Linked DNA regions of Schizosaccharomyces pombe. The protein of the gene in region 2 interacts with the protein of the main gene of each other region in a pairwise test. Each region holds a gene or a part of one and is shown on either strand. Other genes may lie near its edges.

The links. Proteins that work in one complex are often made in the same cells at the same time.
Region 1: the proteins of psk1 (region 2) and mip1 interact in a two-hybrid assay, tested with the Schizosaccharomyces pombe proteins (one study listed by BioGRID).

The regions. Positions count from the first base shown.
Region 1 is NC_003424.3:1,516,723-1,523,324, forward strand, and holds mip1 (WD repeat-containing protein), read right to left. Parts: upstream 4,721-6,602; 5' UTR 4,569-4,720; coding exon 627-4,568; 3' UTR 501-626; downstream 1-500. Other genes in the region: ssz1 (putative heat shock protein Pdr13), read right to left, coding at 67-144; coatomer gamma subunit Sec21, read left to right, coding at 4,990-5,020, 5,065-6,602. UniProt on the Schizosaccharomyces pombe protein: Component of TORC1, which regulates multiple cellular processes to control cell growth in response to environmental signals. Tor2 is essential for growth. Nutrient limitation and environmental stress signals cause inactivation of TORC1.
Region 2 is NC_003421.2:455,633-463,165, forward strand, and holds psk1 (serine/threonine protein kinase S6K family Psk1), read right to left. Parts: upstream 3,864-7,533; 5' UTR 3,779-3,863; coding exon 2,468-3,778; 3' UTR 2,077-2,467; downstream 1-2,076. Other genes in the region: GTPase-activating protein Gyp3, read left to right, coding at 1-1,578; PHD finger domain-containing protein Phf1, read left to right, coding at 4,485-5,870; mrpl4 (mitochondrial 54S ribosomal protein uL29m), read left to right, coding at 6,319-6,753; Holliday junction resolvase subunit Mus81, read left to right, coding at 7,088-7,183, 7,352-7,533.

The DNA of each region.
Region 1 (6,602 bases), on a different chromosome or scaffold from region 2:
ATAAAGCAAGTCTATGCGAATGAACTAGGAGATTACTCATTTCTCCAAGTAAAAAAATTTTCTTACCCTATTAAAAGCAATAGAACTGTTTTGATTTCCAAAAGAAATTCCAATGACAGTCTTGTATTCTTCGGAATCTGCCATTATAAAATTTTCGCTGAATGGGAGAGTTTTCGTTAGCTTCAGCTGCATCAGAATTTACGACCCGAATATAAGAAAGTAATAGTACAATGCGAAAACATGAAATTGTGAATAAATAAATAAATTGGTATATTAGTATATTATTAATTATTTTTTAAGTTAAAAAAAGCTTTTTTTTCTTGACATTAAAAAACATTGATAATTACTAGCTTTTTCATAAAATGTATATAAAAGATTCAATTTTTCGATGAATGTAATATCTTAATTGTAAATTAGTGATTTTTTAAACTTCTTCAAAACCATATTAAAAATTGGTTTTACAAATATCTATAGCAGAGTTACACGGCAAAGGAGAAGACTAAGCAAAGTGGCAGGTTTAGCAAAATATGTATAATAACCAAATTAAGTGTTGCTAATAGAAAGAAAAGTCTAATCAGGTAAAGTAATCAATAATAAATTATGTTAAAACTATAGGAAAACATGGTTTAAAACTCGTTCGGCGAATCCGTATGAATCTCGTTTTTGGTGCAAGAGTATAGATTAACTCTACTATCTGTGTTATCACCACATGCAAGTAATAAATGATGCGGGTGAAACTTCAGGCACATTAAACTGGATGGTTTAGGCTGATTAAGGAACCGTGGATTTTCACGGAAGGTATTAATATTCTGGCCTAACGTGTCCCAAATTTTTATGCTTTGATTTGAGGAACCGGTTGCATAAACTGGGGCGTGACTATGCACAGTTAAAGAGGTGAGTCCAGAGTTGTCTGTTGAAAAAGTCTGTAAAGAATGATTCATCCTAATATCCCATAGCTTAACTTCACCATCTGAACTCGCCGAAATCAATTCTCGCATTCCGGAGGATTGCATTTCAACATTGACGATCTCGGACGAATGTTCTTTCCAAACATCCGTTAGTGAATCTCTTGCAGGCAATCGTTTGTCGTAAACACGAAGAACTCCATCTGAAAATCCAGCAACTATAATATTACAACCGACCAAATCGCTAGTTAAACTTGTAATACTATTACTGCTTCTTACTGGTAGGTTTGCATAGCAGATTTCTTTAGAAGCATCCCATATTCGAATAACGCGTACGTCTCCAGCAACAAGCAAGTGCCCACAGTTCTGTTGCCAACTCATTAAAAGGCTAGCATTTCGATCTCCAAAGACAAGATCACTTAGAGAATTCCACGAAGTTACCAGTTCAACCTTTTCATTTTCGTAGTCACGATACAGTTTAATTGTGCCATCAGAAGACCCAGTCATCAATAAAGCAACATCATCTTCATTTAGTAATTGCATGTCGGTCACGTTAGTTGTCGCACTTGCTGAAGTTTTGAAAGAATTGAGGCAACGATTGCGACGCCAGTCCCATACCTGAATGATATCTTTGTCACCTAATGTAATTAACTGATCTTCAAATTGGTGAAACATAAGCTTCCTAGGAGCGATAGTATTATTAAATGTCATAAGTTGTTGATTCCAACGACCGTTGGTTGAGTATTCAGCAAGGGGACGAGTACGATAAATAAGTTTTTCGTTTCTGTTTCTTCTCCACAAACGTTGATTATAGCAAATACTTCCAGGTTCATCGTCTTCGTTCGGCCGCATTTGGGGTTCGGTAAAATACTTACGAGACCAATCAAATAAGTAACTTGTAAGCGGCATGTCTAGCTCGGATTGGTATTCAAGTTCATTAAATGCAGGTGGACCAGGAACTTTGGCGGAAGTTAAGTGATTTAAATTAGACTCTGCAGGTTTGTTTTCTCCATTTAAGGAAAGTAATTCAGAAGCGCGATCACTTCCTGCCAGGCTTAAAGCCAAGCCTTTCAACGATCTAGTCAGAGAGAATGACCTGTTCAAGATTTTGTTTTCTGAAACAGAAGGAACGAAGGGATGTGGCTTCGGGTCGCTCGTAACTGAATTAGTATCGGTATCTTTGGAAAGAGAAGCTTTATGGAGAGCAGGTAAGTGTTGCAGAAGAAATGCTAAAAATGATTCTCTTAATTCAGAATTTAGCATACTCTGATAAACGTAATTTATTATGGCTTCAGCTGCAAGAGAAATTTCGATGCTTGGATCTGCAGCCAAAACCAAAACAGCTTGCCAAACTGTTTCGTAAATTGTCGAAGCACTGATAGAATTGTGGTTCTTTTTCTCAAGGATATCTGCTAAACTGCTCTCATACGCAACTACCATTAATTGCTTCTTATAATTCACTACAAAGTGAGAAAGGAATATCACTAGTTCATGTCGAACTAATGGTGACGCATCAGAAAGAGCTGCTAACGCCGCAATTGCAATATAAGTTTCAACAGCAACGACTTCTTCGGTCTTCTCAGGAAATCCCAAAAAAGTGGTAAACGCTGTTAAAACTGATGCACGAACTTCAGGAACGGAGTCAACGATGATTTCAGCTAATTTTACATGTGCATTATCACGAGTTCCAGACCATTTAGCTTCAGAGTAATTTTCCCAAAGCTGAGAAATACATAGGCAAGCCCATTGTCTTAATAAAGAGTCGGGACTATTTAAATGGGAAAGACAATGTGATAAAACCTGTGGGTTTAAACAAGCTAGCTGGCCTTGTGGGAACCCACGACAAAAAACACTGAGGATGAACGCACACATTGCTCGGTGTTCGGAAATATTACTTGAAGGAAAAATGGAAGAATTAGGGTTCAAAATTTGGACAAAATATCCATAGCCATTGTCTTTTAGTAAGTCAGCTTGACAAGAATCATCTACAGCAAGGATTCTCGCCCAAATAAATACCAACACAGGCTTTAACTCAATAGCTGGAGACTGGAGAAGTTTCAAAACGTAAGGAAATATACCAATAGAGAGCGCTAAATCTACCGCCCACACCCCGAGATCCAGAAATTTTGAGAGAAGAATTAGTGCACGCAATCGATGAACTTGTGAAAGTAATACCTGCAAAACTAGCGGTAATTGATCCGGTGGCTTTCTGCTAATTAGTCCTTGAGAGAGCCATACCTCAAAGGCAGTTAATTGCTCACTAAAAAATGTCGAATGCTTGTACTCGTAGGCTATGCCTTTGCTTTCAGCATCAAGCATATCAGGTAACTGAGATAGACAATTATCAATGGCCAAATCCCAAGAATTCCACATAGGATGATCGTGGGTAGGGGGGAGTTCAGGACTGGACTGAGGATGACAGGAATGAACGAGCATTATACGTTCCGCTAATAGAAAGTTACGAAACAGTGCTGCTACCATAAGATCTTGCCTAAATAATCTTCTGAAAAGATGCTTTGGAAAGACATTCCAAGCAATCGTATCTGTAATAGCAGTAAATATCCAGTTTAATTCGCCTAATGGAGTACGCCGATCTTGCAAGCGACCGGGAATTTTAAGAAGCATATTCAAATTAAGCTTATTAGGAAACGGGTTTTGCAAGACATACCAACGAACCGAAATTTCAATTGGGGAGGTAAGGCAAGAAGTAAACAAATCAGCTGGCAGATCTGGGTTCATCGGAAGGGTTTCTTTAGGCCCACAAGCAGCAAGTTGAATACAACTAGTATGAGAAGGCATAGCGAGCACATTGGGATTTTGCTTAGCAATACGGAGAGCTTCTTTGTCTCTCTGCTCGGCAAAACGATTAAAATTCACTATGATATTCCCAGCTGCGCTACAATCGTAAACATATATACAAGGCGCTCCAAGCCAAGATTGTAAGTCATAAAGCGATACAGGAATGTATTGAGTATAATTTTTATTGAAAACCCAGATTTCACCAGAGGCAGTAGGCATTGGGACACCATGACCATTATAATGAAAAAGGATCCGTTCCTCTTTAGCGTTTCGTCTTTGACCAATGCAAAGTTTTTTGACTTCTTCAATTGCGGGATCAAGGTAATGCCTATATCTTGTTCTCATACTTAATGTTTCATATTGTTGCTGCAAGTTCTTGCCAATGGCTTCAAGTGCTTTAGAAGCAGGTAATGAAAACGGATCAATCCAACATTCATATTTCGCTGCAGGATTAGGCTTTATAACATCAGGAGGATCCACCCCTATGTTTAAGCAAACTAACAATGCTGCAGAAACAGTTTTAAGCCGTTCGCGCATTCTCCAATCATGAATTGTTTCAGTAGGTTCGGCATTCTTTTTGCTGATCACCCCCCGATGCCGTTTATCAGTGTAATACATGTAAAAGACCTGCTCTAACATGTTTATATATTCAGCATTGTTGTACTCTTCTTCAAAACCATGTCTAGGTTGCGGGAATCCGGACTGTATCCCATCTATCATTGAACTCGCTGTATCGACACCATTCTCTGTAGCAATGTTGCTGTTCTCTGTGTATCTATCGCTTCCGGTCTCGGTTGTTCCATAGCTTAAGACTGATCTACGAGCCCTTGAGCTACCAGATACTTCACTAATTCTATCATTCATGTCGCATAGCTCAAAATCAAATACAACATTTCAAGAACTCTTCCCTATGTACAAAAGGTCGGTAAATCAGGAACTCAAGGGAAACTTAATTAACAAAACAAAAAAAAATAAGAGAAAATTAAGATGACTCTGTATGTATATACGAATTACGCAAGTGATATAGGAGAAATGTCAAAGCAATTAAACCATGTAAGTTACGAACTTTTGCAGTGTTTTATGGGCATATTTCGTTATACTGTTTAACGCTCGTAAAATACTTCAGTAATCCACTTAAGAAATATAAAATACACAACACGTTATACTTTGGTAATAATCGAAACCTCCTACTAGCTAATTATTTATCTACTACATACATCCAGTACGTTCATTTAGTTCTCTATATCTGTATTTCTGCTAAATACAAGAGACTTTTGTAAAGAAGATGAGTTATTCTAAAAAAGATGATGATGGTGGTATGTTGATTGTTTGGAATTATGAGCTGACCTTTTAACAATAGACGAATCGATATTTGCCAATGTCAATCAAGTCACAGTAACTCAAGATGCTAGGGCTTTTAATTCATCTTCCATAAGCCCTAGAAAGAGTAGACGTCTTCTTAGCAAAATCGCCTACTTGATATATACGGGAGAGCATTTCCAGGAAAAGCAAGCTACAGAACTCTTTTTTGGTATTACTAAACTTTTCCAACACAAAGACCCTAGTCTTCGCCAATTTGTTTATATTATTATCAAGGAGCTTTCCGTTGTTGCTGAAGATGTGATTATGATTACCAGTAGTATCATGAAAGACACCGCTACGGGACGTGAAACTATATACCGTCCTAATGCTATTCGCTCTTTGATTCGTGTCATTGATGCTAACACTGTCCCTGCGATTGAACGCATTTTAACTACGGGTATTGTTGACCCCATATCAGCTGTTGCCAGCGCTGCTCTTGTTTCCGCATATCATTTATATCCTGTTGCGAAAGACATTGTATCGCGTTGGAACAACGAGGTTCAAGACGCGGTCACATCTCATAATGTTGGTAGAAAAGTTGCTAGCTCTCCTTTTTTCACCTCTACCTTGGGTTACACACCAAATGCCAGCGGCATTTCTCAATATCATGCTTTAGGTCTTCTGTACCGTATTCGAAGACATGATTCGATTGCAATGAATAAGTTATTGCAGCTGCTTGTAAGCAATTTAGGAACAGTCTCAAATTCTCATGCATTTGTTATGCTTATCCGCTACATTTCTAGTCTAATGGATCAAAACACTCAATTTAGAGACCAGATGGTTCCATTTCTACATGGGTGGTTAAAAAGTAAAGGAGACATGGTAAACTTAGAAGTTGCTAGAAATATGGTCCGTCTCAAAAATATCTCAGATGATGACTTGCAACCTGTGGTTAGCGTTCTTAAAATTTTCTTGTCGTCTCACCGATCCGCTACCCGATTTTCAGCTATTCGTACGCTTAACGAGTTAGCCATGACACGTCCACACTTAGTACATTCCTGCAATCTTAATATCGAGTCTTTAATTACCGACGTGAATCGCTCCATTGCCACCTACGCTATCACAACACTTCTAAAGACTGGTAATGATGAGTCTGTCGACCGTTTGATGAAACAGATTGTTACCTTTATGTCCGATATTTCAGATAATTTCAAAATTATCGTCGTTGATGCCATTCGTTCTTTATGTCTAAAATTTCCTCGCAAGCAAGATTCAATGCTTACCTTTCTTAGTAATATACTTTGCGATGAAGGTGGTTATGAATTTAAACGTGCTGCCGTTGATGCTATTTCTGACATGATTAAATACATTCCGGAATCTAAAGAACGAGCCCTTGCCGAGTTATGTGAATTTATAGAGGATTGTGAATATCCTAAGATTGCGGTACGGATTTTATCTATTCTCGGCGAAGAAGGTCCTAAAGCCTCAGAACCAACGAGATTTATCCGCTATATTTACAATCGGATTATGCTTGAGAATGCCATCGTACGTTCCGCTGCCGTTAGCGCTTTGACCAAATTTGGATTGAATGCGGAA
Region 2 (7,533 bases):
CCTAGTAATCATCCTGCATTTACATCATGTGCTTATCTGCAGAATCCAGTCGTTGATTCTAACAATGAATACGAAAGCAAGTTCAGACTTTCTTTAGAGATACCTCCAACTGATTTCTTATCTACTTCTACTGAACTTTCGAAGCGTGAATCATGCCTTAGTACTGAAACGTCCTCCTCCAAATTTTCCGCCGTCACCGCTGCCACTATTACCAACGAAACCCAGAGTGAAAAGCGTTCATCCCAAACAGATCCAAGCCTTCCTTTCAAAACCAACTCCCTTAATTGCGACGTCACTTATGAAGAAGGTCCTCTCACCAAAAAGCTCCGAGGACCCAAAAAGTACAAGCCCTCCCATTCAAGCTGGGATATATATGGTTTCAAAAAAGCCAACCAGTTTTATACCGTTGACCAATACAACACATGGTATGGCCCTTACAGCCGCTACCTGGAGCGTCGCGAACAGCGATGGAAGCTTTTCCTTCAAGAAAACGGTATAGACTATATACACCAATCTCCTAGTATTTTTCCTAGCCGCAGTGCTAAAACTCAACGATTTATTCGCAAAGGAATACCACCCGAGTATCGTGGCAATGCCTGGTTTTATTACAGCGGTGGTTACGAATTACTTCAGAGAAACCCTAAACTGTACGAGACTCTATGGCGTTGTGCGTGCATAAAAAAGCCCTCAGATTCTGACCTTATTGAACGTGATCTATATCGTACCTTTCCAGACAATGTACATTTTCGACATAAATCCAAGCATTCTAGGAACTCATCCGACGCATCAGAGCATTCATCAGAGGAGCCTGATGTTCCAATGATTTCAAAACTGCGTCGTGTTCTAATGACTTTTGCAACATACTTACCTGAAAATGGTTACTGTCAAAGCTTGAATTTTCTTGCTGGTTTCTTCCTGCTTTTTATGAGTGAAGAAAAGGCGTTTTGGATGCTCGTAATTACGTGTCGTAAATATTTACCAAAGATGCATGATGCCAATTTAGAAGGTGCTAACATCGACCAAAGTGTTTTGATGGCATCCGTTCGAGAAAGCTTACCAGCGGTTTGGAGCCGCATCAGTCTTAATTTTGATGGTATACCCGTCAATGATATTGTGGCAAAGCTTCCTCCCATTACTCTCGTAACTGCTGCCTGGTTTATGAGTGCCTTTGTTGGCATTTTACCTACGGAGACTGCTCTTCGTGTATGGGATTGTTTTTTCTATGAAGGCAGCAAAGTTTTGTTTATGACGGCATTGTGTATTTTAAGACTTGGTGAAGATGATATAAAGTCGAAAAGTGAGCAGACAGAGGTATTTCAGGTGATTCAAGATTTACCCAAATCGTTACTTGACGCTAATGCATTTCTCTCCTTGTGTTTCCGAAGGAATTTTAGGCGCACTCCCTCCCAAAAGGATATAGAGCGTCGAAGAGAAAAGGTTGCAAAAAAGCGTAACTCTTCTGCTTCAAAGCTTGAAATGAGTGATTCTTCGAAACATCACCTTAGTCGTTCATCATCACGATTCAGCAAGTCGCATATAATATCTCAGCTTCATAATCACTTGAAGAAGTCTACTTAGTTATGTCTGTTTACCAATTGAGTTTGCCCATTGTCAAACCTGTCAAACCTTTACTCTCGTTACTAATTTTATGAATGCCCTTGTTCGTTAAGAATTTGGTTGATTGGTTCAGATTTTTATTATTTTTTTACATTGCTACATTGAACAGCCCTTATTCTATTAATTTTGAAATGTTTGTATGAACGTCGTTCCATCACTTATTTGTTCAGCAGATTATTATTTTAGGTAGTCATTGACTCCACTATACACTCGTTTTATTCGGGCATATGCCATTATTTTTGCAAATCGATCTATTTATATGTCTCTTTTGTATAATTGCCTCTTTCTTGTTTGCATAACAATCGATTTTATCTCCCGTTGACACTGGGAATCGAGTCACTAATGTCGGCATGCTTGATATTATTAACATAGCATTATAAGATCACTGTTTTATCATTTTTTGTAGTTAGCCCTCAGTCTGTATTTTTATAAATCATTTGTTGCTAATTCGTTTCAACAGGAAATTGTTTTTAATGTTAATATAAAGTATGAACAATTGATATATTAAAGAAAACACTAAGCTGACCGATGTTTTGTAAAGTATGTATATAAATATATATAAAATTAAAGTTTTCTATTGTGTAATAATAATATGGTTAGTGAAAAGGGATTAAGTAAAGAAGCAACTAATGAAAGAATTAACAGTAATTATAATTAAAATCTTAGAATCTTAAGGATCGATGTTCGATAGAAAACGATTAATTAATGGAGTTTCTTCAAGTATTATGAGTCCCTAAAGGATGAAAGGAGTTATGATATAGTGAGAATAATCAGTTTGTTTAAAATAAAATATCCTTTTCACACATAAAATAAAAAAGCACTTAGTAAATGATGCTTTAGCGAAACCTATTTAATGGTTCGAAACTGCGTTGTTAGATAAAAATTCACAGTTGAGAAAATTGGGAGACGCAACATAGGTAAAGCCTTGAAAAGCAGAGGAATGGCTACCAATTGTTAAATTCCCAAATTCTTCATGAAGAATGGGTGTTGTAGAAAGAGGCAATTTGGTAAACTCGACTGAAAAATTCTCCGCAGCCTCAGGATTGGTGATGCAAGGAACAATTGGGGGAGGCAGCATGCGCTTCTCTAACTTATTCCAATCAATTCGGCGATAAATTCTGTGCTTTTTTATTGCATCGTAACCTTTCTCGGGACCATCTGCGCCGAGGCGTTGCTTTGGATTTTTCTTGAGAAATTTGTTGATAATGTCTCTAGCATCAGAAGTCACATAAAAAGGTATGTTAGGCTTTGCACGAGTGATTTTTTCCATAATTCTCTTATGATTGTTGGCGGTGAAGGGGGGAGATCCTGTAAGAAGATCGAATATGAGGATACCCATAGACCACCAATCGACGGCATGATCATATGGCTGCTCCAACAAAATTTCTGGAGCACAATATTCCTCAGTGCCTACAAAAGAACGACAATCAGCTCCATTTTCAGCCACCTTTGACAATCCAAAGTCTGTAAGAAGGATATGGCCTTCAGCATCCAAAAGACAATTCTCTGGCTTTAAGTCCCGATACACAATACCAAGTTTATGTAAATGTATCAATGCTAGAGTCAATTCAGCAGTATAAAAAGCAACCACATCCTCAGGAAGCATCCTTTGCTCGGCCAAATGAGAAAATAACTCTCCTCCAGGTGCATATTGCAATATCAGATAAAGACGATCGTGGTCTTGAAAAGCATAATAAAGGCGACAAATGAACGGATGTCGAACCTCTTCTAATATCTGTCGCTCATTTTTGGTTTGTTCGAGGCCCTTGGCACGAAGAACAATGCTAGCTTTCTTTAGCTGTTTCTGAGCAAACAGTCGTCCAGTATTTTTTTGCTTCACTAGGAGCACCTTTCCGTAAGAGCCACGACCCAATACCGTTAAGGGTTGAAAGTCTGCTGGACGCATCTTTCCGCTTGGTACATAGTTGTCACCCTTGGAAGAAATAAAATCACCATGGGCAGCAACCTTAAACTCTACCGTCCCCTTTTCATCTTTGGCATTCTTTCCATCCTTCAAATCACTTGACGAAGTGATTGTCGACGCAGATGCCTCCAATTCTTCAAAATCATATCCCTCCTCTGCAATCTCATCGTCACTAGACAAATGGGAATTGTAATTCTCATTCAAATTGTCGTGCTCATCAAACATAAAGACAGGCATCTTTGAGCAATTTGTACTGTGAAGGATCACAAGTTTGGCATATGTATGCCCAAAATGCCTTTTCCTTGTTGTTTGGTAGACGAACAAAAGACTGCCGGGATGTAGAGCAAGAAATTCTCTTTGTCATACCTCATTTTGTTGATTCAAAACGCATTGCTGATTGGCCAATTTAGTAAAGTTTAGATATATATAAAGCTTTTGATTCGCCCTCTTTACTAATTAAAGTTATCAACTTACTACTTATTGGACCGCTTACATAGGCTATTGTGCGTTTTACTTTAAAATTTTTTTATGCCGAGAAGCTAGATTAGTGATGATTAACGTGTCTTATACGATGTGCTTTGTGCATTTTAACGAATGAAAATGTCTTGTTGCTTATGTTGTTACCGTAATGTAAGGCTGGCTCTGTAAAACGATGCCAGTTTTATATGGCCTATGCATACCTTCTTCTTGAGACGCGCGTGTTAAACTCATCTTTCGTTGAATGGCGAATTTACATCAATGAATTGAGATTTAGGAAGATTTACTTTTTACATAAAGTTATTCTATGGTCTCAGATATTTTGAATTAACATTCACTGCGTGACAATTGCGTGTATCATCATTTTAATTTGCGTTTCATGTTTGCTAGTTTCATCTAATTGTGCATTTCGTTTTAAATCAAAATTTTCCAAATTACTCATATTTATTAGTCCTCGTTTTTTACAATGTCTCAAAAGAATTTTTTCGACGAAGGAAAGAGCTATGGTGTAAATGACTATGCCGGTTTCCATTTTGAAAATGGTGCTGATTCATCCCTTCCTCAGGTATCGGCTCAAGGTGTAGTTAGAGAAACGGACAGCTCGAATTTTGATGCTTCCCCTGTCGCATCGGGTTCTGGAATTTCCGATGTTGGACCATTTGGCGCTGATTTCCATCAACTGCAGCAGCATGTACAGACACCGTATGGCGGTATGACTATGCCTGCATCTTCCTCTTCAGGCGCTACTTCAGTACCACCGGAGCAAGATCCTTCTTTGTCTGTATCATTCAATCGCTTGCCCAAGTCTGCATCAACCAAGACTAAGAATGGACGCATTCGATCGTCTCGTCGGGAAGACGATAATCGTATACCATTTTACGATCTCGATGTTGCAGAAGGTGCCGAGGATGATTTACAGGAAGACTTTCACGTGGAAGGAATGAAAACAAAATCGGGTAGAAAGATTCAGCGGCCAGTCGCATACAATCCTAATGCCACCGCATTGAAACGGAAAAGTCGCAAGGTCGATATGGTCACCTTGTGTAGCGTCTGTCAACGAGGACATTCTCCTTTATCTAATCGAATCGTATTTTGTGATGGATGCAATTCTCCATATCATCAGCTTTGCCATCACCCTCCGATTGACGATGCAACCGTTCAGGATGTGGATGCTGAATGGTTTTGTATGAAATGCCAGTACAGGCGTGCCAAGCAACCTTTAGAAACGGGAATGACGGCACAAGATCTTGGGTTAAGTGAATCAGACAAAAAAATGTATCTATCAAGTTTACCTACTCCTCATCTCGCAGATCTTATTCTTTTTTGTGAAAAGTCTTATCCATCTCTTCCCATATACAACCCACGTACTCGGGAGTTGTTGGGTGAGATTCGGCATCAACTACTTGTTAGTTCTGAACGCCAACAAATATCTTTACAAGAGCGACTTCATGCTAAACAAGATGAAGCTCCCTCTGATGAGCCTGCACCTGTCCCCTATACCGCAAGTTATGTTGCGAATTCTGGAACCTTATACGACTATCCAACGTTAATACGGTTAGCTATTCGTAACACCCTCTCACCTTCCAAAGATGAAATATTTAACTGGCTTGCTCAAAACGTACCATTGTTACCAACTTTTCACGACAGCGCTTCCGAGGCCATTCGTTGGATGGTAAATAAAGGTCAACTGGTCCGTTCCGGTAGCATCTATCAAATAGCAACAGTCGAAGAATACCCTCACCTCCAACCCTCTTTACTTCCTACTTTTCAACGAAACCGTAAGGTACCTAAATTGGTGCCTGTCTCTTTCCCCACCGATGATCCTCAAAATTTATGTGCTACTGTTTTATGAAACTGAACAAATTTTTCTAAATGTATAGACAAAAAAAATTTCTTTACTTCCCGTTTTTAATTAAACGGTTGCGTCCCGTTAATCTCGAAATAAATTTATAAGCGGTCGAAAGCAATGTATCATTACACCATGTATTAGCTGCAAATCAAAGTACTTTAGTATTTCCTTCATGGATTCAAACTTTTCACTCGATAACAAATCTAGGGAAAATACATAAATCGCCCTACACACTTTCTGTTTACATTATAAACTTTTCGTTTGGAATGTTTCCTCGCCATGAAATCTTAAAATAAAATAAAATAAGGAAATGAACAATTTCTCAATTTAGCAATAATTAAGAAAGTCAATGAAGTATAATAAAAAATAATTATTTTTAAAGTATGACTTACAACCATTATTATCGGTCAATGTCAGGGTGTTACAGCGCACCTTCTACTTACCACCAAAGATGAGGTCCACGTTGGCTAGCGCTCAGAAAGCAGCCGTACGTATTCCAAAGGGCTTTGTATTTCCTGTTCCAAAAGTAAAAAGTGCTCCTAAGGTTTCAGACACGCACCCTTTGTGGAATTTCTTTCGGGACAAGCAAGCCCTTCCACCACCATCGGAAGAGGCTAAATTCGGTAGAGCATGGGCTGCAGAAGAGCTTCGTTGGAAGTCTTTTAATGATCTACATGGACTTTGGTACAATTGTCTCCGAGAGAAGAACCTATTGTTCACACAAAGGGCTGAAATGAAACGCTTACAGTTGACTATTCCCAAAGCCTCAAATGAGCGTGTACTTGCAGTCAATAAAACCATGGCAGCTATCAAATTTGTCCTATGGGAACGCCAAAGAGCATATACTTCTGCCAAGCAGCTCGAGAAACAAAAGGGATCTTCTTAAACCCCTTCCTTTTAGGAAAACAGAAAATCATCCAAGTATGGCTTTATTATGATCTAAAGCTTCATCATTTCACAAACTTTCTAAAAATATACCCTAATACACGAGAAACTGTTTTATAATGATGATAATGATTTTTTATTTTGTTCACCTATAATTGTTTTCTTTATTTTGTTTATACTGATCATAAAATCTCGGTTGTCCCGGCAACCATGCTAATGTCTTTACACGAAATTTAGGAAATCGCATTCTATCCACATCCATTTGTTTAGACTTTTGTTTCGTGTGACAATCGATAATTTGAATGAAATAGTTTTTTTCTTTGTTTTTCGGATCCATGGATTGTGGAAATCCGCTGTTTTTACAATGGATACAGGAGTGGATGGAAGAGTCGACGCGTCGCTTCCCCAAGTCATATCAAACCTGGAGAAAGGTAGGAAATTTATTGGATTAGTGAAAAACTCTTTGAAAAATAAATAATTTAAATATTAAATTAATAATGACTGTAATTTTTCGAAAGCTTTTATAGCTTCGTACTCCATAAATATCATAACAATCACTGTTGTTGTTGTTTTAAATAAGAAACCGTGCTAATAATTAGGCCTACGATTCAATGAAAAGTTGCCCCATCACATTTCATCGTCCTTCTCAGGCATTGGCACTGAAGGGAATTGGCCCTACGATTTGTGCCAAGCTAGAAAAGAAATGGAACGCTTACTGTTTGGAAAATAATATTCCAATTAGCACGCACAATGAACAGAATGATTCTCATGTCAATGCTAA